Oreochromis niloticus: one gene and its partners. The protein of the gene in region 1 interacts with the protein of each later gene in a pairwise test. Links are inferred from orthologs where the notes say so. Each region holds a gene or a part of one and is shown on either strand. Other genes may lie near its edges. The genes, in order: tceanc, csrnp1b, ssna1 and obi1.

Region 1 (8,006 bases):
ATTTCCCATAAGGCAGAGCATGCGTCCAGTTGGTGTGTGTGTGTGGGAGAGAGAGGAAGGGGGGTTCATGGGAAAACAAATGTGATGAATCAATGTGGATAATTATTTGTGCAGGGGAGGAAACATATGGTTGAACCCTCAGAGGATCAGAATAGCAAAATCAATGCTAAAATTTTCTCTTTGGTACAAAGGGTTAACAGAGGCAGTTATACAAAAGGAAACAATTTAATGAAACTATTTCAGAGTGTACACTTTGAGCTCCCAAGTTTGCTTTGAACTGCTATCAAGTGCTGCGTCACATCCCCAGAGGCGCTATGAAATTGAGTTGCTTACAAAGCACCTTGCACAGCATTGTTTCACCATAATCAAGAAAAGGGTTAGAGTGAGTCTCGTGATTCTGCTTTGACTCCGCTGTTGAGCAAAGCACAAACAAGTCACAATCGTCTGCACTTCCTCATCGCTTCTGATAGAACAGAGTTTTTTTTCTTAATCAAATAGGAAAAATATTATGATCAGCAAGAGAAGACACAGCAACTGCGCTCTTAGCGGTTTCATGTTTGGGGAGGCTCATTTCCTGCCTCTGGGTTTGCAGGACTCCAAATAAGCACAAGCTAAAAAAAACCCAAAACATGACATTTTGTCTATACTTTGCCTCTTTATAACATTTATTAACCCCCCCACCCCCACCCCCACCCCTTACTCCTCCTCCTCCCACACAGACACACACAAATAGAAAGTCCAGAAGCACCAAAAAAATCTTTGCAGAGCTTCAGACAAAACAGAATGAACCCTGAGGCAGAAGCAAAGAGAAAACAAACAGAATCCAGTCCAGTCATCAGTGATTACCCTCAAGGTAATGACGGATGGGAAGGGTATGATGGGTAGGGCACTGCCAGACAAGTCCCTCTCAACACATGCACACACACACACACACACACACACACACACACACACACACACACACACACACACACACACACACACACACACACATGACCTGTCAAGAGCATTAAGCATAGATACAAAATAAGAGTTGATTTTGCTCTCACAGCATAAAAAACCCCACAGTCTCTGTCGCATGTGTTTTTACAGAGAGAGATCACATAAATAAATAAAACACATCATTTTCATCATATTTAATAACATCTGAAAGGCAAAGCACTCTAATTATAGAGCATTACATGATAAAACTTGTTTCACTTTAAACAAATAGGATACAATCAATAAAAATGTTGCTGTTTGCAGTAAAATTCACATTTTTTTCCTTTGGAATGTCAAAAATGGGAAGAAAACAAAAAAACATTTCCTCTTCCCCCACCGAAAAGTCAGATCAGACTTCTGCCAAAAAAAAAAAAGCAAATATGTGTAGCTCTTCCTGTTTTCTAACCTTCTCTCACCCTGTTAAGAACAAGGCTTATTATTGCACTGACACTGGCTGTTGTAACTCAGCACCATGTGACTGATGATTTCTTATAACACCTTTTCACTTTGTTGTCTTTCACACATGCACTTGGCAGCGTTGGGGGGTATTTTCAGGTCGTGGTTGCGGGTGCAGGGACTTACCATGTTGTCATGAATGTCTGACCATGAAAAAGCTGATCACTCTAACAAGAAGGCCATGCTCCTCCTCAGAATTTCTCAAGCTCAGGGCGGGGTAGTGTGTGCGCGTATGTGTGTGTGTGTGTGCTCAAGCGTACACGCCATCGAGAAGGCGGGGACAACAAAAGCAGGATGTGATACAGCAGGACTCCACTTCCTCATAGGCTCTGTTCAAACCAGCGCAGTGCAGAGAGCGCCACCTCTCGGCGCTCGGCTGTCACAGCAGCTGCGTGCTGGTAAAATTCCACTCCCAGTGATAAGAAAGTGCACAAGTGCAAGCAGGCCGCACTGAAATGACTTGATAAGATGCAAGGTGTCTTGTGACTCTTGTGATGGAAATCACTCGTGTTTGTTTGAGGGTTCAAAATTCAGCAGGTTTAATGTATTTAACCACAGAAAGAGGAGTTTTACATGTGTTCACTGATGGCTCAGCCGGACCCCACCCATCTCAATCCACACCTCGGTGGGGGTCAACACTCAGGACCCTTCTACATGTGTGAAAGGTTGGAGTTTTAGTTCACAAAATCCACTTAACAAAAGAAAGCTCGCTTACAGAACCTCAAATATCCCTCACAGCACATTTCCTCACACGCTCAAAGAAAACTCCTCAAGCCAGAGAAGAAAAGTTAAACATTAACGCTGCTAAAAGCCTCCTGGAAGCTTTAACTTCCATTTGGGGTTTTAAAAGCAGCTCTTTGAACTTGAGAACCAGAAGCTATTATGCGAAGAGACACCGAATCAATTTTCCCTTGAGGCCTCCACTGCTATCGGCCCCAGCTGCATGAATCTTGAAAGCACATTTTAATGTAAGATCAGGAGGGTGATGTCACACCAGCAGTTGCATAATGGCGCCCTGTTCATGTAATTACATTTCATCTGGGCTTTTGTGTATGAATAATAACATATATGATTTGGCAGGACTATTAAACGTGCTTCAGTGAATAAAAAGCTCATTTTGATATAAAGGCAGCTCGTGGTTTCTGTTTATCTTTAATTTATGAATGCAATTCACAGTCAAAGGAGTCTTGGAAGGCTTTACAACTTCTGCCACTGCAGCTATCGCCAAATTTGTTGAAACCAGCACCTCAGATGTGAAAATAATACTTACAGAAAAATACATATATTCTCGAGTAACTTATAAGGGGCTGTACAAAAATATTTGTCCTTATAATTAAGATTTTGAAAATGTAGAGGGTTTCGTGCTTTGTTTCTTGTGTAAAGGAACTCCTTTTGACATCATTTATTTTTATGCTTACCTTTAGCCTTATGTTGCAAGATAAGTCGCTATAATCTACTCTACAATATCCCCCACACCATTACACCACCGACTGGTTGTACAAGCCTGCAGGATCCATGCTTTTATGTTATTTACTCCAAATGTGTACTACTATCTGAATGTTGCATTAGAAATTGAGACAAACCAGTCAATGTTTTTTCAATCTTCTAATGTCCAATTTTGGTGAGCTCTTGTAAATTGTAGCCTCAGCGACCCTGGGTGTGGTCTTCTGTTACTTCAAGGTTTGATGTGTTGTGCATTCAGATGCCTTGCTGATGGCTGAGGTCAGAAAGACCAGACTGCTTTGACCTGATCGAAAGGCAACAGTAACTAAAATAACCACCCATTACAAGCAAGGTTGTGATGACAACCAAGGTTGTAATGAGCATCTCTGAATGTAAAGGTAAAAAAAAAGGCTACAACAGCAGTAGACCACACCCGGCGCCACTCCTGCCAGCTAAGAACAGAAAACTGAGGCTAAGATTTTCACAAGTTCACCAAACATTTCTGCTCCAGCATTTAGAATTTAGCATAAACAACATCCAGCCTCAGTTCAGGCTGCTGGTGTTGGTGTAACGGTGTAGGGAATGTTTTCTTGGCATGCCTTTCGACCCTTGAGTACCAACTGAGCCTTATTTAAACACCACAGTCTACTTGAGTGTTGTTGCTGACCATGTTCATGCTGTCATGACCACAGTGTACCATCTTCTGCTGGCTGCTTCCAGCAGGATGAAACACTGTGTCACAAATATCCTTCACAGTCATGAGATCCCAGCGCGATGCAGCACCAATGAGATGTGGTGGAACAGAAGATTCACATCATGGAGCCATGTGCAGCCAACAAATGGATGATGCTATCATGTCGATATGGATCAAAAACTCTAAGGAATGTTTCCAGCAGCTTGTTGAATCTATGCAACACAGAACTGAGGCTGTTCTGAAGCCAAGAGGGTCCAAACCAGTACTAGCAATACAGTTGGTGAGTTTACATTTGGTCTTCTTTGCTCACCATAGAAATGGAAAGCACTAACTCCTTTTCGTTATATTATTTTAGTAGTTAGTATGAGTGTGTTCGGGTGAGTCAGTGCTGCATGTTTGGAAACAAAAAATGATGATGAATGTGCCGTGCTGTTGGGAAAAAGGGAATAAAGCAACAAAATAGGCAAACACAGACTAAATCAGCCTCCTTCATCACTTCAGCAATTTCCGTACAGTCCATAAAGCCCTAAAGGTATTATTGAATTGTTTTGTCAATGCTCCCATTCAGACAACATCCAATTAATACATAATCAACCTTTCAGCCATGCAATTAAGCCTGCATTTTTCTCTCATTCACGTCACCGTCGATGGTGTGATTACATCAAACCATGTTCCAGGCTTCCACGAAATACTAACAACTACCTGCGAACTGGTGCGTCCGCTGGAACTTTTCTGGTCTTAGCTCCACAACCACGAATTATCCTAAACACTCATTCATCTTCTTCCATCAAAACATGTAATTGCAGCACAGCTGAAAGACTTGCCTCATCTTGTCACGAGATCAGTTCCACTGAATTCCTGTCTGGAGGTCATTTGGCTGCTTGGATGCGAGGATTACACGTTTCTGCACGCTGAACCAAATATCTTTCATCTCGATCTCAGGAGCTGAAAAGAAGGAACATAAGGCTATAATAATAGCCATTAATGCAACACACATTTGAAATCGAACACTTTGTCTGGACGACACCCTCAGCTCCTCGTGTGGTTTAGCACAGGTTCATCCACATTTGTTATTGTGGGAAAAACAGGAAAGAGGCGTTAAAATAGACAGAAGTTTGGCCGTGGGAGTAACCTGGAAAATCCAAAAGCACACACCTAAATCCTCACATAAAGCACTAATCCCACAGTACATTTTAGATAAAGCACAGACTGACAGCACAGCTGGAAAGCTCTGCTGGGATACTTTCAGATTAAACAGGCCGCAGTGTACTGATTCGGGGATTCATGGTGACACTTTCATTGCAAAGAGGTTTCATTTGTAATGTTGCATTAATCCCTGTTTTTAGGGGAAAAAAGATTGCATACATACATATATATAGTTCCATTTTAAGAAAGTGATGGGAAACTACCTGCACTACCCTCATGCACACATTGACTTTGTGAGGCTACAGCTCCATCTAGAGGTGAATGCTGGCATTTTTCTCCCGTGGAGACACATTCAACATGGCTGCTCCCATGTAGACGTTTGCTAGGCTCACTGTTAGCAGGAAGAAACTGCAAACCATGAAGGAACTCAGGTAAACATGTGCAAAAGTCTATTTTAATGTGTTGCTAAGTGGTACATACTGCTGTGCTTTCAGGAGAGCAGTGCTTCATTTTGCAGTGAGGGGCAAACATCACCACATTAAGAAAAAAAACATTCATTGTTTCATCTTTACTTTTGTGTCTTTGCAGCCACAATGGATCCAAAGGAGATGCTCCGCTGTGCTCTTCAGATAGAGAAATTCAGTGCAGACAGAAGCTATGGGAACATCATGACCCTCCTTGGTGACCTCCAGAAGTCTCACGTCACAGCGGAACAGCTGGAAACAACTGACATCGTCAAAGTGCTCTACAGGCTCCTGAAAACCTGCACTGATGACAGCGTGAAGAAGACAGTCAAGAGCTTGCTGTCCGAGTGGAAGAGACAGTACACGAAGGACAGGCAAGGGGTGAAGTGCACAGAGGAGAGCGAGGATCCTGAGCTCCCTGCCAGTGTTTCTTCACCAAAAGAAGCCGTGGGTGGTGCGGTTTCTGCCCAAACATGTGATGGTGGAGAGGGGAATGCTGCAGGAGAACCATCATCTATGCAGGCTAAACCTGGACCCAAAGCTCATACTTCTGCTGCATCTCCAGATAACGTGAGAACCAAATGTGTGCAGCTCCTCCTTGCTGCCCTCTGCCCCTCTGCCCCCGATCAGGACAAGGCTGCTGAGTTGGCCCGAGACATCGAGCGGCACGTCCACGAACTTCATAATCACAACCAGGTCAAATATAAAGCCTGTGTGAGGAGCAAGGTGGCCAACTTGAGGAATCCCAAAAGCGGCCACCTGCATCAGGGCCTCCTGAGTGGCTCCCTGTCCCCCGAGGCCTTCGCCCGCATGTCTGCGGAGGATATGGCCAGCGCAGAGCTGCGGCAGCTGAGGGAGGAGTACTCCTCCCAGGGCGTGAGTGAGAGGCAGCTTCCTCAAGGGATAGAGGGGACGCGGACGGAGAAGATTCGATGCAAAAGATGCGGGGGGTCAGACTGTAGGGTGACGCAGGTGTCCAGAGGGGTTCTGTTCTTGCCTGCGTGGGTGAGGCAGGGCGGCCCAGATGAGGATGCAATGACCTTTGTGACCTGCAGCGGGTGTGGCCAGCAGTGGTACCACAGCAGCTGGGTCTGCCTCTGAATCCACATGGATAACATACATGACTAAGAAAGCTAAGAGCAGGTTAACTGATAATGAAAATAACAGATTTTTAACCATTTTGCACAAGAATCATGCTGTGTAGAACTTTCATTAATGATTTACTTTCTTATTTTTTGACATCTGTGGAGTTAAAAATGTTCAGAAATCTGGAACATGACCTTCTTGGATTCCTAGCTCAGATACTCAGTGTTGCTAGTTTTGAAATAATACATTTTGAAGGCTTTTCTTTACACATTTACATAATAAATTGACTTAAACTGCCATTGTTGCAGATGAATTTCCAGCCATTTAGTTGATTGGTTGTTTCAGCTGTTCTGCCCACTGTAAAATTGCACTTGTTTGAGTTGGTTTTCCAAGTTTCACCCCTAGTTCACAATTTGGTATTATAAAGGCTTTCCTGTGACCAGTTAAATGTTTTGAGTGTTATAAACTCAGCTCTGAAACAGGAGGATTGGTCACATGGGATGCAGAGTGGAAACTTTCCTGCAGGATGAAGTGCATACTTGTGGTTTAAACCAGATTTTTTCCCATAGGATTTGTGCTTTGTCTTTCATGCATTGACCACTAAAACCCACAGCTGAAAGCCTAAACTGTATCTTTACCGGCTGAAATGCCAAGTCATTGCAGTCTCCGACTGAAACCATGGATTTTCAAGAAGTAGCTGTCGTCATCTTCTTCCCGCTGAATCATTTCCTGTGTCTCCACTCTCTGTAATAGCCCTTCATTTTATTTCTACTTACAGTAGCTCATTTAACTGCTTTTACTGGCCGCTCTCTCTTACATTACTGATCTAAAGATCCATTAATGCCTTGACCACTGGCTTCGCTAATGTTTAATTTTATAAGTTTTATGAAAAAAATGCATTATTTTGCACTTATTGTCAGTATTTCTGAGTATTAACACGGTGGGGGAATTCTTTAAAACATGCCTCTGCTCTACAATATCCCATTCATTTGTAGCAAACTGAATCCAGCAGATGAGACATGTGACCCCTGAAGAACTCCGAGCATGTGAGCCAGTAATCTGCCCTCCCTAGCAGCCGGAGGGGCGGATATCCCATGGTGCTCCAGCCAGCGTGGCACAATGACTCACATACACGTCACTGTGATGTCACATGAAGCAGTCTTTTTTTGTGTGTGAAGATATTACAGAGAAAATGACTTATTTTTATCCTCAGCTGTTCTTCCTGCGTCATTATTTATGTCACGTCCTGGCCTATTGCATCTTTTCTGATTTTTGCAGCAGGCCGAAGGTAAAATGGCCAAATATGAAAAAAACCCCCATATCTTTCTATCGTGTTTGGTATCTCGACGCTGGTGCATTTGTCTGTATTCCATCCCCTCTCACGTGCTCCTTATCTTTTAAGTAGATAAGGAGCATTTTAGTGACGTGCCCTGTCAGATTGATGCTCTGCAGCCACATACAGCTGTGGTGAGAAGTTTACATCCACTCATCAAGGGCATAACTGTGATGCTAGTTTTGGGCTTTTAATGATTTCTTTGAGCTGTTCTGTTTTCAGGGTGGAATGATTGTACGGAATTACTCTAAAGAACAATCATTTTAATATTTTAATAGGTGGTGCTGTAGGTTCTACAATGTCTTAACAAAGCTAAGGCCTATTAACTCCTCATTAGGGATTATGATTGGGTACAGAAGGGAGTTTATCTTTACAGCATAAAAAGGATTTGTTTGACAGCACT
Region 2 (7,925 bases), on another chromosome or scaffold:
CAGTCATGTCCAAGTGTACAAAACTGGATGATTTAGAGGGCTGTATTGTCCCTAGAAGATGATGAGGTGTGCTTTCTGCTCAGGTTTTTAAAGTAATCTTATTAACTAAACACTTAGGTGGCGAATTGCGCCTTCTGCTTGAAATCCAATAAGTTTGCCTCTTGCAGGCTTTTGTTGGCAAAGTCTGCTTCCTCGAGAGTTCCTTTCACTACTTAGGTCTCATCCCCTGTAGCCCTGCCGCTTGTTTTCATAGCTGTGATGAACTGCGCCCTGAACTCTTGCACTGGTTGCCCTCTGCAGTGAAACACAATGCCATGTGCCTCTATCACACTCATGTCTGGGGCTACAGGTGACCAGCTGTCTGCTTGTATTCCTCTCCTCTGGGACAGCTGGAGCCATCAATCAGCTCACCCCCTCCAACCCCACCTTCCCCGAGCCCCATTGTGCCCGTCTGCCTGGTCTGACCACCACAGCAGCACCGTCAGACTCATCTCATCTGCTCTTTCGCTCCTCCGGGGAGCGCTTCTGAACTTCCACGTAGTTGCGAATTCATGCTTATTTCCAGGCTTTCAGGACAAGCTGTGCAAATCTCTCGCTGTCTCTGGTGTTGATTTTTGGTTTGAGTACTTATTGATGAGTTTGGCATTTGGCTCCCATGAACTTGCCCTTCATCTAACAGCTAGTTTTATGACGCCTCTGATGGTCATAAATTGATACATTGTTGAGCCCACTCCACACAGCACGTGCAGTCACAGTCCTTTCTCCCTCTGCAGATGGAAAGCATTGAAGCCCATTATTGTGTTCTTGGAGGGGCGTCTTCCACCATGAACTCTTTGGCACACTTTTAAAGAGAGTGGCCTTAATGTATTCAGGCCTGATTCACAGTGGCTTTGGCACTACCGCTACCATCCCCCCAGCCTACACACACACACACACACACACACAACTCTTTTTCTTAAAAGAGAGAGTAAACATGTGTGAGTCGCACTGTTCCTTGGAACTTTTTCTTGTTTATCAAAAAGGGAATTGATGAGCCTGACAGGGAACTTCAAAGGGGGACATAAAAAAATTCTGTTCACCTCAGGTGAACTTTGTGAAGGACACTTGATCAAAGAGCAGAAGGACCCAACACTTGCAAACTAAAACTTTTTATATGACCCAGATTTGCCTGTTGCATAATGCTTGTCTGTCGGAACAACATTGTTGAACCTGTGTCAGTTATCTGAAGTTTGCCAGCACTGCTACTATAATTAGGCTAAACCAAACCGCAGAAGTGGCTGAGCGAGCGTGTCTCCAAGCTCTCCGAGCCTTGTCAAACAGAGGGCTAATTGTGAATGTTGGTAATTATTAGGTATTTTATAACAAAGAAAGCAGAATTCCTCGGTAATGGTGACTGCTGCCTCTGCTCATGTGACTGTCAGTTTCTTCCTCTGGACTGTGGACAGTTCATTGTTGTGTCTTAAAGAGCTGCAGGGCGACAGGGAAACTAATTGGGTGGAGTATGTCTGGACATACAGACTCCCAGGCTCTCTACCGGAGCGTCGCTGTGCCACACACGCATGCAGACACACTCACCTTACTCGATTACACACCTTTGACGTGTGAAAACAAAAACAATGATTACTATAAAGCATGCAATCCGGTCAGCGATAACAATAGAGATGGCACTATTAAATGTTTATTTACATCCTCAGTTACTTAACCTTGTGCTTTAGAAAGATGTAAGTTAAAGGTGCCTGATATTTCTGTCTGATATTTATTCACTTTTATTGTAACTGCGCATGCCTTTTTTTGTTTGTTTTTACAAACAAGCTTCGTGATGAGCAGTTATCCGTGGTTTTTACCATGTTTATTATCACAAAGCCATTCAGTCCTGTTCCAGTGGTAATTTACGGCTCCGGTGAAACTGCTGCCTCCAAAGCAAACGACGTCAAGTAAATCTACGTGTTTGCATTTGTTGGGTGTTATTTTAGCACCACTTATTCTAATTTGAATAGAGAAACTCTGTGTTTTCAGCAAGAGCTGCGGAGGGACTGTTTCTGCTGCCATTCGGCTTGAAGTGCCTGTTTTTTGCTTTCAGGGTGGGGCTCTAAGTGAGTCCCTCAGGCACAGCAGCTAGTGAGAAAAGGGTCTTCTTTAAGGAGGACACAATTTGCATAGGTCTATGTACACAGCTTTCGGAGACCTCTCCCCAAATATCTGAGTCGAGCACCTGTATTGACATTGGCAGAACACTTTGTCTCAGGATTCAGGTCCAGCTGAGAATGAAAGCAAACCACCTCAGCGTGCTCGCCGTGGGCAGCTAGAGTCGCAAATACCTGAGAGGACTTTATCAGCTGGGGTGGGGAGGGTGTGTGACGCTCCTGCTTCATGAGAAAAGGGTTGCAAATTAATCCCATCAGTGATTACGACACATAGAGTTGTGTTGTAATCCCACAACTAAAAGACATGACGTAAAAGAGTTGATGATACAGTCTTGATCCCTGGGGTCAAAAGACAGGGTCAGCAAAAGAAGTAATTTACTGAGTTGTCTGGTAAGTTAAATGTATTTAAGTGGGGCCATTCTGCTGTTACACAGTTTGTTTTATTTAACTGAGAGCAAGAAAGAAAACAAAATTCAGAGAAAACTATGGTCCTAAAAAGTAAACAAATGAAAGGAGGAAGGAAAGTAAGACTGAAATTAAGAGGAAACTATCACCCCAAAAATAAACAAATGAAAGAAGGAAGGAAAGTACGAATGAAGCTTAGAGGAAACTATTGCACTGAAAAAGACTCGAGGGAAGAAGAAAGGAAAACAATATGGAAATTATGAGGAAACTACTGCCATGAAAATGTAATAATAAAAACACCTATTTCTTTTCAAAATAAAAGCATATATATACTACTAGTGTACAAGTGCCAAAAACAATTATTGTTCTTTTTTGTTTTTCATTTCATAATTTTGGAGAAGTAATTCTGAGAACTTGAAGTGTCCAGACAATAATCCCACATACACTAACATACAATAACATAGTTGTTTTTAAGGATTAATAATGATAAAGTTTGTGGTAAGCTAACTGATACATGTACCCATGTGGTTTGCTGACAGATCTAAAGTGGTTTCAGCCTCCTTATTTAACCCAACTTTAAAAATAACACATCCATGTAAGGTCATTGTGTTTAAGTACAAGACAGGTTGTCAGCGCTTACATCCAAGAGGTTAACAAAAAAAGAAAAACAGAAAATGTGAGCTCAGCCTCCCTCAAAGAAAGCCGTGAAACCATTACTCAGGATGAACATGCAGTTTCTGGGGCTTTCAAACTCATCTCATTGCCCTAAATAAACACAAAGCTACTCAAGTTACTTTGTTAACCAACGTAGTTAACTAAACTGTTTTCACCATGTGATTTTTTTAAAAAAAAGAAGAGAAATCATTCCAGGACAGTAGTTGTGATTGCTTGGTTATGATAAGAGGTGGCGTTTCCTCTAAAGCCTACTTCACTTTTGCGTTCCATGTAAAAAGAAACTGAGTCAGAATTTCATGCAGCTTACTCAGTGTTTTCCTTTAACTGGAAATAAGCCACGCCGTATACAACATTTAGGCACCACCCACGTTACAATAACAAGACTTTTATCTGCCTGGTGATCACACAGTTTGTGACTGCTCATCAGCTGCTAATATAGAGAGGAACCTGGGGATTCCTATAACTGCCTTTAGAGTATTTAATAGTGAGTATGTATTAAAAAAAAGGGGGGGTAAAAAGAAGAAAAATGTATTTTATTGTGTTTATTTGCATCAATCTATTACTATAACTACTACTCCCAGGCTATTATTATTATCATTACTATTATTATTATTATTATTATTATTATTATCATTATTATTATAATTATTATCAGTGACCACCTGAGTTTTCTCACGCAGGTAGTAAGGACTCAAACCAAACACAGGAGGACGGGCAGGAAGCGGCGTGGGCAGCCTCCTTGTGTCACCGCCTGCGTCAGACTAGACGCCAGGAGGGAGTTTTCCACTGACGAAAAAGCCTGCGCTTCTCGGCAGTCTGCTACAGACAAGGGAAGCGCTTCAGCTGGTACGGACCCCGTGCGGCAGAGAGGCACAGACAATAGGAGAGAATTTTCAAAAAAGGCTGTGTATACGCGGGGGATAAGCGCTACGTTTATTCGTGCCATTTGGATTACTTCCACCGTTAACACCCGTCGGCTGTTTTACCCAGCGTGACTATTCGGTGACTGATGGTGATCGGATACTTGAATTGGTGGTGAGTACAAACAGAATCGGGAGTTTCGCTGCTGGGTTATTGAACACCGTAATTTACGCGTTCAACCTCAGCGGAGGGAAGGAGGGGGGAAAGCCAGATAGTTTGACTGTTTATTCTCGTGTGTCAGGAGTCGTTTAAATGCCCTGTGCGGTTTGTGTTCTCTGTGCGTCTGTGCGTGTCATCTCTGGTGTGGTTTTATTCGCTTGATTTCTTTTTGAACACTTTGCCTGACGCTTTATTGGAAATGGACGCGGCTGTGGTGGCCCCCGCTAGTTAAAGTTGAGTTTTAATGAATTGTTTTCTGATGGCAGCACACGGGTGCTGGCACTCACGGTAACGGGAAAGAATTAAAGTCATTTAACTGATTTTCTTGTTAAACGCGAGATTCCACGACCCGCTTCATTCACTTGGTGATTGATTTATTATTTGGTTTTAGATTGATCGCTGATTAATCGGCGTTTTACAAACTTCACGGCTCACGCCGGGAAAGCCGTGCTTCCCACCGCTGTGGGTTTTCGGCTGTGGATTCATTTAGGTGATCTGAACTGTTGATGAGGTCGGCTTTGTGTATTCAGCCCGTGCGGAGTTGTTCTTGTTCACCTCGGCGGTGCTGGTGCGCCTCTTGTAACTAGAGCGACTCCTGAAGGCACTACATCTGAGCACACAGCTGACGGGCTGCTGTCATTAGAATTAGCATTAATCATGAGGCATGATCGGGTCAGCTGGGGGAGAGAGCCGGCTGGACTCGTACGACGTGCCTGTTCGACCCGATATAATTATAGGTTTTTAATTATTATTATTTTTTTCGGGGTGGATTTTTAGCGATTTGCCACATGCAGGTAACAGTTCAGGCTTTTAGCCAGGTGTGGACAAGGAATGTGGAGCTCCTTCATTGTTTGATCAGTTTTCCATCACTGCATGTGGATCTTTTTTTTTAATTTTTTTTTTTTTTTTTTTTACATGCGTAAATGACTGAAGTTTCTAATTAATTTAAGTACTATAAAGAGAAACGAATGTTAATGTGGTTTGTTTTTTTTATTGTTATTCTCATCCAAAGGTCTTGATTTATTAATGTTATTATTTTTTTCCAGGTGTAACACTGCCCTCTGGGGCTCTTATTTATTTATTTAATCTTTGGACAGTGTCTGTTTTCGATAAAGCGACTGAGTCGATTTAATCGTCTCTAGCGCGACCTCACCCGGATCATTTTTGGAATCATGTTTTCTGGAATTAGGCTGCAGAGAGCTGAATGATCCTTTGTTTACTGAGAAGGAATACAGCACTTGGTGCTGTGCACTTAATGTCTAAGGAGGGTTCAGATGTGTTAAATAAGTCTTTGTCTGCGCTTATTTAACATCATTTTCCATTTATAGCACACATTTTGCACCCACGTCCCTCTTTTAAAATAACAATTGACCTGTTTGCTGCCTTCTCATTAAAACTGCCAATGCACTCCAAAATCCTCTCAAATGATTTGAAGGAATTCGCAGCACAGCGAATAACATCCCCACCTCCTAACTGCCTCATCTCCATCGTGTGATCCTGCATTCAGTTTGCCTTGTGGTGCCTGCAGCTGTCAGACACAGCACAGATAATCTGGATGGCCACTTCCTGTGCACTGCAGTGCATGTTTCACAACCTCAGGAAGCTCATGCACACTTTTAGTATCTGTCTCCCCAGCTGGGAGAGGCAGCAGCCGCATGCTGGGTTCAGACAAGGTTCTCTGTGCCTGCTTCATTTTGGTCACGCAGGATGGCCCCACGCTTTTGTGCCTGGAGACGAGGGTGGAGTGGGGGTGGGTGTGTGTTTTAGTGTGTGTGTGTGTGTGGAGGGGGTAACATGGAGCCTGCTGACAGTCTCCAACACAGCAGCCGAGAGCTCCCATCTGCTTTGTCCTCTCAGCATTCCATACAGCAAGTGTCCCAGACTGGAGCATGACCCCTGAACCCGCAGCCACTCCCCCTCCCTCCACCCAAACACACACCCAAAAGCTGCATGTTTTCTGCTTGTGGACTGTTATTCTAAAAAGGTTTTCTCAAAGTTTGCTGCTGTGCACTTGGCACAGTTTCTGATATTTGCAAGTGTGTTACAGAAAAATCAAAGCTGCATGTCATTTTGTCTGCACAGTGAATGCCATTCGAGGAAAAGAGTGGAAAAACCTGTTTTTGCCTTCCCTTTAAAGCAGGAGTAAAGCAACCCAAAACAGTATGAGTAAACAGTCCTCTGCAGGCATCACCTGGACATTCAGGTTTGGTCTGCATAACAGATTAATGGCAGCCTGGGGCATGTGAAGTCCACGTGCAAGTTAATACCCTGTCAGGTGTGGCTAGGAAAGGTGGCTGGCTCAAGTGTCTAATGGGAGTAGGACTTTCCAGTGGTTAGCAGTAGAAAACGCATCTGGGTTAGATAGAGCCTGTGTTCTTCTTCCACTATTACTGCGGGAGCAGTGCTGCCAGAATGGAATTCCTGTGGCTTGGAGACATGACATTATTTATTTGTTTTGTACAGTCCTCCCTCCTTCTTCCCACTACCTCTCCTTTTTGGAATCGCGCTGTGCACGGGTCAAGGCAGAGGAACAGAATGTTTCTGTGGCACAGTCACAGCAAGCTTTGGGGCTTCGGTGAGAACAACAGGCTTATAGAGGAGAAAGCGGGAGCGCTCCCTGCATTGTTCCAGCAGGTGGAGCGCTTCTGACTAACAGCTGACTTCATATGAAATGAGCCAGTTTCCCCCAGCTGTGCAGGAGCTGGAATCCAGCCCATCGTCACCTTGACGGCTTTGATCAATTATCTCCCGTCCTCTCGGTGTCAGAACTGGAAGTGAGAGGTGCAGTACCTTGAAAGCCTGCAGGGGCTATCCTGCCCAGACACGGTTCCACACACATGGGAAGGCTCCCAAGCTCATCATTATCACATTTTATGAGCACTCAGTCAGTCATTCAGACACTGCACAAGGCTGTCAGTGTGCCATGTAAATGCTCCCGGCTGGCTAAGATTAGTGCAACTTGTCGCTCCCACCCACACGGTTATCAGCTGCAAAGGGGCTGGACAGGCGGTGCGAGGGGGCAAAGTCAACTGTGACTTGTCCTGATGGCTGCGGGGCAGACGGGAGCAGTTCAAACAGGGTGAAAGTTGATATCTGCGCAAAACCAGAGATGTGTATAAGAAAACTTTTATGAGTCGGTTCTTTTTTTTTTGTGATTCTGATTAAACTAAAGCTTTCCAATAAGTTAGGATGATAAGATTTAGCGTGGCATTTTACCTTTTAGAAGTAATTCAAACTCTTTTACATCCTTCTCAAATAATTTAATACTCCTTTATAAAAGGGTTTGAGGGGCTGTCTGCAGATTTAAAATAAAAATGAATTGAAATTCTAAAGTCGTACAAACAGCCCCGTAGCTGGATGTATCAAGATAATCTTATTCAACTGACATAGTTATGCATCTGACTTGAGCTGTGTAGTGCTTCTGGTGACAAATCTCCTCGCCAGAGATTTATCTTTCCAAGTCTGTGACAACTGGCTGGGGAGCACCTCGGTGGATGCGTCCTTTATCTGCCTGCCTGTGTGCGGTTGATGGAATGACAGTGATGCATAATTTAGCGCACGCTGAAAACATGCTGCGCTCCCTCTCTGGCTCGGCTGTCCGATCACATCCATTCTCCATTT
Region 3 (7,753 bases), on another chromosome or scaffold:
GTCTGTCACTGACAGACCTGCCACTGCTGGTGGTCTCTGGAAAATGCCAATTAAGCTGAATGAGAACCAAGGAGTCCTGGCCTATGCCTCTCACTCAACAAGCAAAACAAACAAATTGGAGTTTTAACACAAAAAAAATGTTAGGAAATACATTTATTGAATCCAGAAACTTACAACAAAGGTTTAAATATATTAAAAATTAGTCCAAAGTGGGGAATAAACTGCCTCAGAAGTCACAGTCAGGTGAGGTCAGGTGCACAGTTTTGCTCCTGGCCTTCAGTGCTCCGTCCTCCGAGGCTCCGTGGCTTTACTGAGGTTTCCTGCTTCCTGCTTTAGGACGCTCAGGAGAGACTGGGAGCTCTCCAATATCTGCAGGAGTTAAAACGAAAACAAAACAACATGAACTAACTTGTGCAGAAACTCAGAGGAAGTGTGGAGTGCACTTTAGAAGCAATTAAAGAAGGGGTCCAGGCTTGGCTGACTTGTTGTTTTTTAATCAGAGCAGCTCGGGAGTGTTTGTTTACAGTGATTAAGTGAGAGCACAAAGGGAGTTCAGCGTCAGCAGGTGGGATCTTACTGACATCCAGTACAGCAGTCAAAAGCTTCTGTGGCCATACCCAACTTTTAATTAGTTCTTGAATCAACGCTTGAGACTAAGAGGTTTTCTGGTTGATGCTGACAGTCCAACAAACAGCTATTGTTTTAGCATCTTATAACCACTGATCCATTACTCATGCACTAATAAAAGTATCCCACCCCCACCCCCGCCTCTCCTTCCTCCGAACTTCTGCAGCTGGTATTACCCAGCAAACTTGGGTGAGAAGCAGTTGTGGTATGAGGCTGTTGTGCCAAAAATTACTTGCTATTTTGAGTTAGAAAGAACATTTCTGTCACAAGGTAGAAGCAGCCATGGTGCGACTACATAAGATCCTTTATATTACAAAGACCCTACAATCAGACGACCTCCTATCAGCAAGCACTTGGCAACAGTGGGAAGGAAAAACTCCCTTTTAACGGGAAGAAACCTCCGTATAATGCAAAATAATATATAATACAGAACATCAGTCAACATGGAAATTCTTGCTGGACTGTAATGATACTTTTTTGCTGTTATGCAGAGCTCCGTTTGTTCTCCATTCACCATGCACCTGTTATGTGATATTGATTAACTGTGCAGAAGAGCCACATGAATTTTCAATTTTTTATTTTATTTTCCCTTTAAATACCTGTGTAAACAAACAGTCAGCATATGAAAACCACTGCAGGCTCGGTCATTGACGCACCTTGGTGTATGCAGCCTCCGTCTCGGCGATGGTGCGGTCAAAGGTGGCGCGTGCGGCGAGTCTCTGGGTCAGGCTCTCATTGACTCGGCTCAGCTTCTCCGAGAGGACACGGATGTCATGCTGCAGCCGCTCCTTTTCCTCTTCCTCTTGCTTGATCTGTCGGTTCAGCTCATCCCGCTTCGAGCAAAGCTCCTCGATACCTGATCGGGAGGGAAAGGTGGGATTAAACTAGAGCCTCAGTAGATCTCCTCGGGACTCAGACAGATGATTTCTGCCATAATTACGCAGCCCAAACACAGACATGGATATAGTAAACAGAAAACAAGGGAAACCTTCACAGTGATCTGAAATTAAACACACTTATTAGGTAAACAACAGTAAAATACTGGTCTTAAATTTCATTTGTGTGGGTGAAATGGCTTAGCCACTTGCAGGTTAGTCGCTATCAATACCAAGACTAAAAAAGTAGGATTAGTGCTTCCCTAATTCCAGCAGACCAGAAACAGATTAACCAACACCTGACAAGTGACAAGCTTCAGCTTCACTGGGCTTTTATCTTCTAATACTTTTGAGAGAAGAAGAAAAAGTGTCACATGGACATACAGCTAAACTGCAGCAAGCACTCAGAGCTGATACCTGTTAACACCATTCGCGCCAGTGCGGAGTGCAAAGGGTTAAAGGTGATCTGAGGAGGTTAATCAGATTATTAGGCGAGGTGCAGCATCACAGGTTAACCTCTCAAAAAAGCACTTATTTTCAGTTTTAGACAAAATTACAGGCAGCAAACTTTGCTTTAACACAAGGGTGTCAACATTGCAGGCTGGGGGCCAGAACCGGCTCCCCAAAGGATCAACTCCGGCCCGCAGAATAGCTCATTAAAATAAAACCAATATGACAAGACAAACCAGCTGAATAAAAATGCTACAAATTACACATAAGGAGGACACAATAAACTTTAACACAAGAAGGAAATCCGAGTATTGTTCTCTGGTGACAGTGCAGGCTACAATATGCTTGGTCTACATATTCTCTTGTGAAATTAAAGCGCGATAGTCATTTAATAGGCAAAACCAAGAGGAAAATATGCGTAATTCATATATTAACCAGTAATTATACTATAATTTAAATTTAAACCGCTAACACTGTTATGCTAATCAGTCTAATGTGTTATTGACAGTAAATAGGCTCACTCACATTTGACCAGCTCGTTGTTGTAGGTCTGCAGAGCTGCAGCTTGTTGGGTCATGTCGAATTTTAGGTCAACCTTCACCGGATTATATCTGACTTTAAACGCGAGGTACTCGGTCGGCTAGCTCGTCATCTATCCCTAGGACCTAAACAAGCCGGGGTGGGCCAAATATTCAGCACTGTTTATTCAGCAAACCTTATGAAAGCAGAGCCCGTACATGGCGAGTTTCCCAGACAACTCAAACCCAGGAGGAACTACCGGACACCCAACCAGAGACGACAACTTGGAAGAGAGTCCACTTCCTGTTAAAAACATTGTGTGGAAATGAACTGGAGTTTAGAAGGTTGCCAGCAGATGGCGCACACGACCAAGACCTTAGGGAATAGGAGTAATTATAACGAAACAGCTAAAGCAATCGTTTGCAAATGCTTCTACATAAACAGCCAAAATGTTATTTTAGTTTTGTTCTCCAAGGCAATAATAATGAATTCGAAATTATATAATATCGACTCGTTACTGGAACCATCTCATGAGCGCCCCCTATCAAACCAGAAGTCGATAGAGTGAGAGTTCTTATATTAAGAGATATCTGACCTTCTTCTCCACTGTGTTTAACACCGATAATGTCCGGCTTGCGCCCTCTGGCGGATAACAAAACCTACTATTAAATTAAGTTGCTGTTAAGGGTTATCCAGACATCCAGTACTAGCACAATCCAGAGTACACATCTGGAGAAAGTAAAAATATTGGCTGCTGTCAGTGCTACCCCACAGCCTCCTAGCAGATATACCTGTGGTATCAGTTTCAAAATACTGCATCACCTGAAGTGATCACACTTACAAGATTTTCATAAAACTTGACCACTGACCTTGAGTAGATCTTTAGTAGATCTATGGTATAAATTTAAAACTGCTATGTCGTCTAGTTCTCATGTTTTCGGATTCACGACGTTTGGGAGATTTCTCAGCGGCTGCTACTGAGAAAGAAGCTATATTACTGAGTACATGACAGACAGGAAGCAGTATGTGAGGGTGTCCAGTGCTCTGTCTGACTGGTGCAGCACAGGAAAAGAAAAAAATCCTCTATAGCGATGTGCGAGACTGATAAAGTCAAACAGAAAATGATTATTTAAAGTTATTGCTGCTAAAGGTGGCCCTACAAGTCACTGAATCAGTGTTTTTCACACACTGCTTCTGCATTTTAGGTTTTATTAAATAAATGATGACATGTTGTAACATTTCACACGTTACTGTTCAACTCAGGTTTTATTTTAATAATTTTAGATTTGCAGTTTGCCTACCAGTCTGAAATTGGCGTCGAATTAGGGTGGATGACGCTGTCATGTACCTGTTGCAGCAATCCCTCACATACCACAGTATGTGAGGCTTCATGACTGTGTGTCCGACGTGGTAACCTGCAGCACGCGGGGCACCGCAGGGCACGGTTTTCTCACCCTTCTTGTTCAGCCTGTAAACTTCTGACTTCTATTATAATTCAGACCATTGCCACCTACAAAAGTTCTCCGATGTTATGGCCATCATCAGATGCGTATCAGATGGAAACGATCAGAAATACAGGAGGGTCATCAGTGACTTTGTCGGCTGGTGTGAGACCAATGCTCTCCAAATCAACGCTAGCAAGATGAAGGAGATGTACATAGACTTCAGGAGGAAGTCACCCCCTACAACACTGGTGAACATCCAGGGAAAAGACATTGAGACAGTGGACTCATACAAGTACCTGTGTGTTAACCTCAACAACAAACTGGACTGGACTACAAATACAGACGGCCTGTATAAAAAGGGCCAGAGTCAACTCCACCTGCTGAGGAGATTTTATGACACTGTGGTAGTATCCACCTTTTTCTATGCAGTGGCCTGCTGGGGGAGTGGATGCACAAACAGGGACAGGAGGAGCAGGATTGGCAAACTGGTGCGGAGGTCTAGCTCTGTGCTGGGATGTCCTCTGGAGTCTGTGGAGGAGGATGCTAGTAAAGCTGACATCCATCATGAACAACCCACATCACCCTCTGCATGAGTCTGGGAGTGCGCTGAGCAGCTCCTTTAGTCAGAGACTGAAACACCCTCACTGCAGGAAGGAGTGCTTTTGCAGATCATTCATCCCGACAGCAGTTAGACTCCATAACTCCTCCTCATGATGTCATGATCATGCATCTTATATATGTATGGACGTGTGCATGTATATGTGTATGTATATATATATATATATGTGTATATTTAGTGTGTATGGATGTATGTGTATTTCTATTTCTTGACTTTATATTCTTGGTATACTCTGCATTCTTCTGCTATTGGTACCTGAGCTGTGGTAATGCACAAATTTCCCCACCGTGGGATCAATAAAGTCTTATCTTATCTGATTTTTTAAAGTTTTAAATTAGCTTTGCAACTTTTTAAATAAAATTTCTGACTTTGTTCTCATAACTTTGAGAGCTTTTCTTGTGTTTTATCCTATTGACAGTTTTTCCTCATACATTTTTCAATTTGTCCTTCTTTGCCCCTTGTTTTGTCCTTCATAGCCTCTAAGAGTCTAAGATAAGATAACCTTTATTAGTCCCACAAGTGGGAAAATTTGTTTTGTTAAAGCAGAAAGTGGACAGTGCAAAGTTACAGTAGCAAAAATTAAGAAAACACACTGGAATAGGATATGATAATAAGAATAAGATACTGTACACAATAGAATAGAATAAAATGCTATATACAACAGAATAAAGTACAATGTTGTCAGAAAAAGAGAATTGCGCTTAGTGTTATTGCACATGTGTGGATGTGTGTGTTTGGTCAGCTGCAAAGTCTTTGTTGTGGAGTACAGAAACCTTTCAAAAGCAGAATGTTTAATAAGCATGATTTGTACGTTTTATTCCTAGAAATTTGCAACTTTTCCCTTGTTTTCCCCAAATTTAGTAAATTTGCCATTTTTTCCTAGTAAATGTGTGACTTTGTATTGTAATTCTTTCTTTGTTAATTTATTTTCTAAATTTTTGTTCTAAATTTTGGTAACCGTTTCCATTTTGTCTTCGTAAATATTTAATTAACAAAATTTCCATCTAAATTTGCAAAAAAAATTAGTTGTTGTTCTCAGAAATTTGAGAGCTTTTCCTTGTATATTTCCAAATTTTGTTCTGGGAAATTTGCCGTTTTTCCCCCATAAATTGTTCGACTTGCCCTCGTTAGCCCCTCATTTTGTCCTTCGTAGCCGTTGATATCCCGTCTTAGTACAGAAGCTCTTCAAAAGCAGCCTTCAGGTGTGGCTTTTGTAACTCAGTGCGCGCATCAATAAATGTGACGTAATTCCACGGTGGGCGGAGTTTACGTCCAGGCACCATGGCTTCGGTTGGGACCGAGGTGAGTGTGTGAGCTTTTTCTGCGCCAAGCTTGTTTTACTTTTGCCCTGTTTTCCGCTCCTCGGAAAATATGTTTTGTCCCGACGGGTGGACCACCCCCCTCAGAGCGGCCGAGCCGCCGGTGTCGAACTGTCGGTTCGCGTTAAATTGGCCACTGCCAGCCTTGGAGTCTTTTGCTTTTGTGCTGGACCGGAGGGCAACTGAATGTGCAGGAAGATGCTGCGCCCCGGAACATGAATACTCGGCGCAGGCACGTTGTTCGCTTTTTGCCGGGGTCTGATTATACATGGTGCCGGGTTGTGTTACTGTCCTGCCTGTGTCCAGCTTTAGCGGTTCAAAATAAACCACATACACACCTTAAACTTGCCTTTTTAGCCAATATTCTCACAGTTCTTGCTGCACTGTTTGTCGCCGGCTCACTGGTGGCTAATTTGTACACTGTTTTGTAGCTAGCTGTTAGCAGCGATGCTAGCTAACAGCAGAATGCTCACTTTTAAATTCCTAAAAAAAACCCGGATTCCTGCGATTGTCCCCTTTACACCGATCGGTCTCCATTTATTCCCTAACAGTGCGGCTAAACGCTCGCCTGATAATGCTATCTCCACGGTGGTGTGCTGTAACTGATGCAGTCAAATGAAGCCAGCACTGGCAGAGCTGCAACAGCCTCCCATTGCATACATATGGCGCCAGATCCGGATTCACCTTTTCACTCATTATTTATCTTTTTTAACCTTTTAATTATGATTTGAATTATTCTTCGAGTGAAGGCTGATCTGTGTTGGATATTGTCACGGCTCTCAGTGCTGCTGGCTGTTTTGTAGGTGCATTGATTTGATTTGCTTTTACAGGAAGGTTTTATTGGTGAAGGTGGATCATTTCAGCTGATCGGCATGTGCAAAGCTGCCACAGCTTCATTCTCTGGTGCTTCATTTCTTTTTAGTAGATATGGTCGATATGGAATCCTTGCTTTGTTCGGCAGAGGTCGCTCCAACAGTGCTGAGAGTATCTCGAGGTGTAGCAGAGAAAGGTGTAGGGCATTGAGCTGTGCAGCCACTTCCGTTTACGCGCATAGCTGGTGTGTGAGTGACTGTTTGTTTGTTATTTGATGCATTTGCCCTCAAACGGCCACTTCACCTATTTTAAAAAGGAGGAAAATGAGGAAATATGCGCGCCAGTCTGATGCTTTTAAGCTGATAATTTCAGGCACCATGTTGGAGTACAGTCGGTGGAATTGGAAGGCTTTATTTTTCATGTGATAGAAATGATATGAATGAAATGTTGGACCTTTCATTTTAAAGATTAAAAGACACATTGGTTATCAGATTGGTTATCAACAGGCAACCTGAATGAATGTTTGAATAAATGAACCAAACTAAATCAATTTTACACCCACTTCCAGAGTCACAATCTAAACCCAGAATCTTATTTGTATCACCAACTTTAAGCATTATCCCTGTTTGAGTTTTAAAACTGCACCAGTTTAGGGTGGGACTATAGTTTACGTGTTCGCGAGACCAACAGGGTCTGTGTGGTTCCCTGTGATATAAATTTCATCATCAGATGGTGAGTGTAGTGTGAGGGTTTGTGGCTGGCTGGCTGTTTTGTTTTGTTTTGTTTTTGTTTTTTTTGCAACCACATGCACTTGACTTCAGGTGGACTTTCAAGCCATACAACAAAGAGGACTACTTGGCTGTTGGGTTTCTGTGTCTGCATCATAGTGTAAGTGAGGCATTAGTATCTGTAGCATAGAGTAAATACTCACCGAAACATCACGTCTGGTTGCTCAAGCCATACTTTGGTTTCGTTTGGGCTTGTTGTGCAAATTTTTGTAAACCAGCATAGTTGGGTTAAAGACATGAGCGTTAGATGATTATATTGATGCAGCAGTATTAAAAATGGTGATAGGTTTGTGGTGAC
Region 4 (7,112 bases), on another chromosome or scaffold:
GAGAGAGAGAAAAGCAGAACACTACATGCCGAGTGAGAGAGGGAGAGTGGGGAGGCAGTCTAGGCAGGGGGTATCAGGCTAATTAAAGCAAGCATTTGTCAGAGATTAAGCCTTAAACAGAAAAGGTCATCTGAGCACCAGAGCACACTGTTTCGCTGCTGTGCTCTTAGGGCAGTCTAAACCTTTCCCAGCTAAATGGTAAAGATGCTATTTGCCAGAGATGGGGGAGGGGATCGAGATCCCGACCAGTGACAAGAATGACACTTGGGTCATTGGTTCTTCACTGTCCATTACACATGCTGGTCAAATATGGCAATCGGTGTCATTTAGGGATGAAAAATAAGTGCTGGGACAAGATCAATAGATGCAGCCGTCTGTGCCGGCTGTGATTAATTGACTGTCACCAATTAATGACTGGCCTGTTGCAAAGCAAAGCAATCGCAGTGGGACAATGGGTATTTCTTTCATTTTGGCCTGATATTGGTTATTTTAGGACAAGTTGCCCTGAAGTAAATTCATTAACCACTTCTTTTACAGTTTTGCAGGTTTGCTGTGGCACACTGGAAAGTGCCTCTGACAGCATCTTGTGTGTAAAGCGTACTTTGAAGTTGTTTTCAATACTGGGATTAATATAGAATTATATGAAAGCTTCCACATAACATCCACACTGTTTTTTTTTTCAGTCCAATCGGATACAGTTACTAAAAATATTTGAATATGTTCCTGCTGCTTCTCTTTCAGAAGTCTGTATACATTAAAATATTCTCATTGTTTAGGGATAATGAAGAGTAACATTGAATAATGGCATTTAAATTGATTCTACACTGATGTCGCTCTCTAACTGATTTAACTTAAACATATTCATCACGTACATTTACTCCAAATGTTCTCTGGTGGTATGAAAAATGAGTGAGAACACATGGAAGCCTGTGATCCACTTAATAGACCACTAAAAACAATCAAACAAGTACTGGTGATGTTTTCAAACTGGGATCAGTGTACAAGGTTATTTTGAAGTCAGTCAATTCTAATCATATTAGATCTTGAGAAGATGTCCTGGCTTAAGATACAATGTGCACAGGACATGTTGGTTTAGATATGAGTAATGGCTTTGGGGGGCTAAGCTGTGGGGCAGATGTAATTTGAAATACTTGTAGTGGAAATTATGCTAATATTCGGTCACTCTGTATTGTTATTTATAAATTAGATCATTTAGGCTTCACAAAATATTGCAATGCAATTGTTTTCTAACTGAATGAATGAGCTATTTGTTGCATCTATTTAAGAGATTTTCAATTTGCCGTTAGTTTCTGTCATTCATTTTTTTCCTTTTTTGTACGTTACTGTGAATTATCATTTTATAAAAACTATAAAGATGGAAATCCGAAGCTAAATATCTTGTTGTTACTGGGAGTGTATTGACCTATAGTGACCGATTTTCTTAATAATTTCTACCTAGTAAGTCATTCTTTACTTCAAGTTTTGCCAGAAGTTCATTGTGTAGTGAGTTTACTAGAGAACAGCTATATTTGTTTACAGTGTAACCCAAATAGAAAGCGTTTGTGCTGCTGTGTATCTGAAAAGTTAATATTTTATTATTACATTGTTTTTTACTACACTGAACCACTGAAGCCTCTTTCAGGACTTTATTTTCGAGGTTCATTTTTAAAATAATTTACCAGTATAATCTGTGACATGCAAATTACACCCAAAATTTCAGCATTCCCCTGGATGAAAGGTAGCTTTATAGATTTTTATAGGGAATACAGCTGCCTTGCCCATCAAATCCAGCAGTGTATTCTGTGAAGGAAAATGTTGTAGTTTGCATCATATGTGCACGTGGTCATATTTGCATTGCAAAATGCAGTGATGTGCAACTTTCCCAAATACAACATAGTAAACTTGAAAATAGGAAATCATGTTTGCAAACTATATTTGGAAAAATATTGATATGTTAAATTGGTTTTGCTTTCCCAACAAATTATTAATGATAACCCCAATGTATTAATTCAGACAGAAGACCTATATTATGTGAAAAAAGTTAATTATTGTTGTTGTAATCATCAGTGGATCCTCAACACATACAAGCTTGCTTAAATGAGCTCTGTATTTGGAGCACCAATAATCAATGCATTTCTGTTAGGTCTAAAGCCATTAGGACTCATTGCTGGAGGTCTCCACAGTGAGTTCTTACAAACATTTGTAAAAACATGTTCTGTAATATGTTTAAAAAAATACATTTTGCATTTTTTTCATGGTTTCCATGATGTCAAACTAAAGAAGGAATTAATAAAGTACAACCTTAAAAAAATTCTTTAAACAAACTGTTATGTGAAGTAAAGATACTGTATCAAGGCACCAGCAGATTGCTCTCAACTTAGCAATAGGCCTCATGGCTCTAATGGGGAACATATTTTAAAAAGTGTAAATAATGCATTTAATAAGACCTGAAACTAGTGATCGAAAGTGTTTACTGGGGTCACAGACATGAGAACCCAAACTGTCATTTTCCCACAGACTTTAGTACAACTGGACTTCGTTTTAAAACCTGATGAGAGGTCTCCTTATTGCCACAACAAAGAACACTGGTTTAAGGCTATTAAACCATGGTTTCATCTTTCAGGCCAGGAAGGCACATCCATCTTGTATACACAGCTGTGAAAACGCATTTGCCACTTTCCTGATTTCTTTTTATTTCTTTTTGTTACTGAACAGATTTTAATATCAGACAAATATAACCTGAGTAAAAAATAAAAAATCATAGTTTTTAAACTATGACTTTATTTATTAAGGAAAAAAAAAATTATCCAAACTTATCTAGCTCTGTGTGAAAAAGTATTTCCCCCTGAAACCTAACAACTGATTGTGTCACCCTTGGCGGCTAGAACTGCAATTAAGCCTCTGCAATAGCTGTAAATGAGGCTTTCACATCACTGTGGAGGAATTTTGGCCCACTCTTCTTTGCAGAATTATTTTAATTCAAACACACTGGAGGGTTTTCAAGCATGAAAGACCTGTCAAAGCATCTCAATCTGATTTGGGTCCAGACTTTTATTAGCTCACTCCAAACCTTCTTTTAAAGCTATTCAGAGATCAATCTGCTGGTTGCCTTTTAGATCACTGTCCAAGTGAACTTGAGCTTCAGGGTGTGAACTGATGGACATTCTCTTTGTAGTTTTTTTGATAGAGAGCCGAATTCATGGTTCCATCAATGGAACTGGAAGCAGTCCCAGACCATGACACTACCACCACCATGTCAGGCAGACTGTTGATATGATGTTCTCTTTATGAAATGCTGTGTTAGTTTTATGCCACAATTAATGGCATAAGACCTTTCAAACTTCCAACTGTTGTCTTGTCAGTTCAAATATTATCCCAGATGTCTTGGGGATCATCAAGATGTTTTTGGATACTGTGAGATGAGCCTTTGTCTGAGCCTTTATGGTCAACTTTGTCAGACAGGTTTCATTTAAGTGATGTATTTAACAGGTCTGGCAGCATTCAGGCCTGGCAGTGGCTAGTGAAACTGAACTCAAACATGTTTCAAAAAAATGGTTAATCACAGTTACTTTATGATAGCGGGGAGTTAATTTTTCACACAGTGGCAAGTAGGTTTGGATAGCTTTTTTCCCTTAATAACTCATCAATTAAAACTGCATTTTGTATTAACTCAGTTTATGTTTGTCTGATATTAAAACCTCTCTGATAATCTAAACATGTAAGGATGACAAATATGCAAAATAAAGTCAGGAGAAGGAAAATACTTAAAAAAATGTTTACAGTATGTATATACAATACAGAATGAACCACAGACAGCTGTAATGTCTGGTTTTATCGCCATGACCAATTATTGGAATATTGTGCTACATTTAATAAAATTATTGTATGCAGCACAGCATCACAAGCAAAGAAGCAAAGTTAGTTACAAGCTACGTTGTGAACATTGTTACTACACAATCAACATGCCACTGTTTTACACAGCAGCTGGCAGGGAATAAACAAAGATATGAAAGTGGACAGTCCACATGACTTCTAACGCTTTTCTATTTCCGGTTTAAAATAACTGGCAAGTGATAAAGCTACTGTGCCCCGGTTTAGCCGTGACTAGAATACATTAAAGCAAGATACTTGTGTATGTCTTCTTCACTGTGAAACCCAGTGAAGAAGACATAATTTTAATATTATAAAATTACGGGTGAAGGTCAACTGTTACCTGTTTCGCGAAGAACCGCCTTTTGACCCCTGTGGCTTTCCGTAGCTGTGCGGCTCGGCGCGCGACGCAGCGGTTTGGTGGGAGATTTGTACCTCTTCAGGGAAGTGAGCTATATGACCTGTACGTTCATGAAAAATGGCTCTGAACTACCAGGCATCTACCCTCTCGCTCACTCTGCCAATTTCCTGCCAGATATGCCTCGGAAAGGTAAGTGTCGTTCGATTTTTTTAACCCCCTCGTTAGCGCCTTTCGTTTGTTAAACAAACTCAGCAAACTGTTTCCTACATGAGTTAATCGGAGGTGACCGTTGTTTGTTGTGTTTGGTTGTGCTAGTGGGTTAATTTGCTCGTGTTTTTCTCGGTGCAGGTTAGGCAGCCGGTTATTTGTTCCAACCACCACGTGTTCTGTTCATCCTGCATGGAAATGTGGTTAAAGAAAGCTAACCAGTGTCCCACCTGCAGAGTCCCCATCACAGCAGAGAACCCCTGCAGGGAAATCATCGGTGAGTAGTTGCGGGCAAACAAAGGAAAGCAGGCTTGAAGCAGAAGAGAAGAGGTGATCTGCCTGCCTGCAGCATCTCACAGCTGAGTCTTCTTTTCATTGTGCTCCCAACAAAGCACGGCTTCAAGTTTTGCAGGCAACTTTCTATGAGCCGTGACGTTTGTTTTGTTAGTAATATCCCCAAGTTGACGATTTCAGTTAATAAAGCAGGTTGGATCATATTTAGTGAGATTGCTTGTTGCAGCTTTAGAGTAAGTCAGCATAAAAATGACTGGTTTATGAACTCTTGTGTTGTTTGCAGTGTTTAAGCGTTTGACAGGGGCTGGGGGGGCCATCCTTTCCAAATGCTTATTGGAAAACTGTTGATTTTCTTACTGCAGGCTTGTCTTCAGTCTGTAAAACTGTATTCCCTTATCCACAAAACAAACTGGCTACAGTTTATGCGGGCAAAGGTAGCATGAGGTGATATATCTAAGACAGTTGTACTGAAAAATAAATGTTTTACGTTTCATTTGAACTTGTGTGATGCATATTTGAATATATGATTTTTATGTATTTAGTTTTAATCATGCAACCCTGTTGTTTTCGAGCATTTTCTCTCTATTTTTGTTGGCAGCAGATCAGTTTGGGTTTTGTTGTAACAATACCAGACAGTACTCACTGACATACAGACATATAGCTAAGCTTAGCCCCGAAAAATTGATTCAGACTTGATTGTTTCAGTCATTCACGGATCTGTTTCTTGCAAAACAACCTTTTTGTTGACTTTTTATTGCAGTTGTTTCACCTGTACTGCTGGAATTTTAATATCAGTCACTGGCCACTTGATTAGATTCACTTGTTGATGCATATATCCAATCAGTCAGTCACATGAGAGCAACACAATCCATTTAGACTCACAGATATGGTCAAGCGAACCTGGTGAAGTTCAAATAGAGCATCAGAATGGGGAAGAAATGTAATTTAAGTGACTTTAAATGTGACATGGTTGCTGGGAGTTTCCCACGCAAACATCTCTAGGGTTTATAGAGAATGGTCTGAAAAACAGAAAATATCCAGTGAGTGACAGTTCCCTGGGTGAAAATGCCATAATGATGCAAGAGATCAGATGAAAATTACCAGACTGCTTAGAGTTGACAAGAAAGCAATAGTAACTCAAATAACCACCTGCTACAACTAAGGTATGAAGAAGAGCATCTCTGAATGCACAAGTCCCACCTTGAAACGGATGAAACACCAGGTGCCGCTCCTATCAGCTGTGAACAAGAAACTGAAGCAACAATTGATATGGGCTCACCACAGCGGGACAGCAGAAGACTGGGAAATTGTTGGCCGAGTCTCGAGTCTTCTGCTTTGATATTTAGATGGTAGGGTCAGATTTTGGTGAAAACAACATGAATAGATCCATCCTGCCTTGAATAAACTGTTTTCAGGCTGTTGTTGGTGTAAATGCACAGAGGATATTTTCGTGGCACACTTTGACTCCCCTAGTATCAGCTGAGAATTGTTTAAGCATCACAGCCTTACCTGAGTGTTTTTGCTGATAAGTGCACCACTTTGAGTACTCACAGAGTACTCATCTTCTGGTGGCTGCTTTCAGCAGGATAACACACCATATCATAAAGCTCAGACTGATTTCTCAAACATGACAATGAGTTCACTGTACTTAAATGGCCTTCACAGTCTCCAGATCTTAATCCAGTAGAGCACCTTTGGGAAGTGGTGGAATGGGAGATTAACATTATGGATGTTCAGTTAACAAACCTGCAGCAACTGTGTAATGCTATCATGTCAACATGGACCAAAATCTCAGAGGAATATTTCCAGCACCTTGTTGAAACTATACCATAAAGACGTGAGACAGGAACGTGTGACAAGATTAAAATAAAGAGGGAAATCATTCCCTAACTTTAACCCCATTTGGTCTTGTTTTGTTGTTTGTTTGGTAAATACATTTTAAAAACAAACAATGTTTGTGCTAAAAAGAGAAAATGTGACCAAATTACTAAAAGGAATGTTACAAATGATGGTCTTCTCTTGTGAAAATCAGTCACAATTTCCCCATGCACTTTAAATTTGCCTGCATTTTAAATGGCAGCACCTCAAGCCTTGAATGTTATTCAGTTTTACGCTTGCCTCTTTATTACTGTAATGTTGTGCTAAGGTAACAACGAAGCCACATAAAAGCCAGCTGATGTTACTTGGAACATTACTTAAATGTGTTTTGTGGTCTATTGTGTTAATCATTTACTGTACTTGTGTGCTTGTGTTACAGGAGGAACAAATGAGGGTGATCACAGTGATAGTCCTTCTGTGAGAAAATGTCTCAGAAAAACCAGAGGGGAATTACTTTTACGCGAGTATGAGGTATTGGTTTTACATGCTCTGTTATGTTTAG

The links.
Region 2: the proteins of tceanc (region 1) and csrnp1b interact in binary tests that used the Homo sapiens proteins (3 or more experiments, as listed by UniProt). The two-hybrid records come from large-scale screens. The link is inferred for Oreochromis niloticus from reciprocal best matches to the Homo sapiens genes TCEANC and CSRNP1.
Region 3: the proteins of tceanc (region 1) and ssna1 interact in binary tests that used the Homo sapiens proteins (3 or more experiments, as listed by UniProt). The two-hybrid records come from large-scale screens. The link is inferred for Oreochromis niloticus from reciprocal best matches to the Homo sapiens genes TCEANC and SSNA1.
Region 4: the proteins of tceanc (region 1) and obi1 interact in binary tests that used the Homo sapiens proteins (3 or more experiments, as listed by UniProt). The two-hybrid records come from large-scale screens. The link is inferred for Oreochromis niloticus from reciprocal best matches to the Homo sapiens genes TCEANC and OBI1.

What each region holds. Positions count from the first base shown.
Region 1 is NC_031986.2:14,111,414-14,119,419, reverse strand, and holds the start of tceanc (transcription elongation factor A N-terminal and central domain-containing protein), read left to right. Parts: upstream 1-5,004; 5' UTR 5,005-5,151; intron 5,152-5,308; 5' UTR 5,309-5,313; coding exon 5,314-6,285; 3' UTR 6,286-8,006.
Region 2 is NC_031974.2:17,921,587-17,929,511, reverse strand, and holds the start of csrnp1b (cysteine/serine-rich nuclear protein 1b), read left to right. Parts: upstream 1-4,913; 5' UTR 4,914-5,092; coding exon 5,093-5,098; intron 5,099-7,925. UniProt on the Homo sapiens protein: Binds to the consensus sequence 5'-AGAGTG-3' and has transcriptional activator activity. May have a tumor-suppressor function. May play a role in apoptosis.
Region 3 is NC_031972.2:31,110,617-31,118,369, reverse strand, and holds ssna1 (microtubule nucleation factor SSNA1), read right to left. Parts: upstream 3,018-7,753; 5' UTR 2,530-3,017; coding exon 2,478-2,529; intron 1,484-2,477; coding exon 1,284-1,483; intron 370-1,283; coding exon 277-369; 3' UTR 136-276; downstream 1-135. UniProt on the Homo sapiens protein: Microtubule-binding protein which stabilizes dynamic microtubules by slowing growth and shrinkage at both plus and minus ends and serves as a sensor of microtubule damage, protecting microtubules from the microtubule-severing enzyme SPAST.
Region 4 is NC_031965.2:14,861,712-14,868,823, forward strand, and holds the start of obi1 (RING finger protein 219), read left to right. Parts: upstream 1-4,105; 5' UTR 4,106-4,348; coding exon 4,349-4,420; intron 4,421-4,579; coding exon 4,580-4,715; intron 4,716-6,989; coding exon 6,990-7,081; intron 7,082-7,112. UniProt on the Homo sapiens protein: E3 ubiquitin ligase essential for DNA replication origin activation during S phase.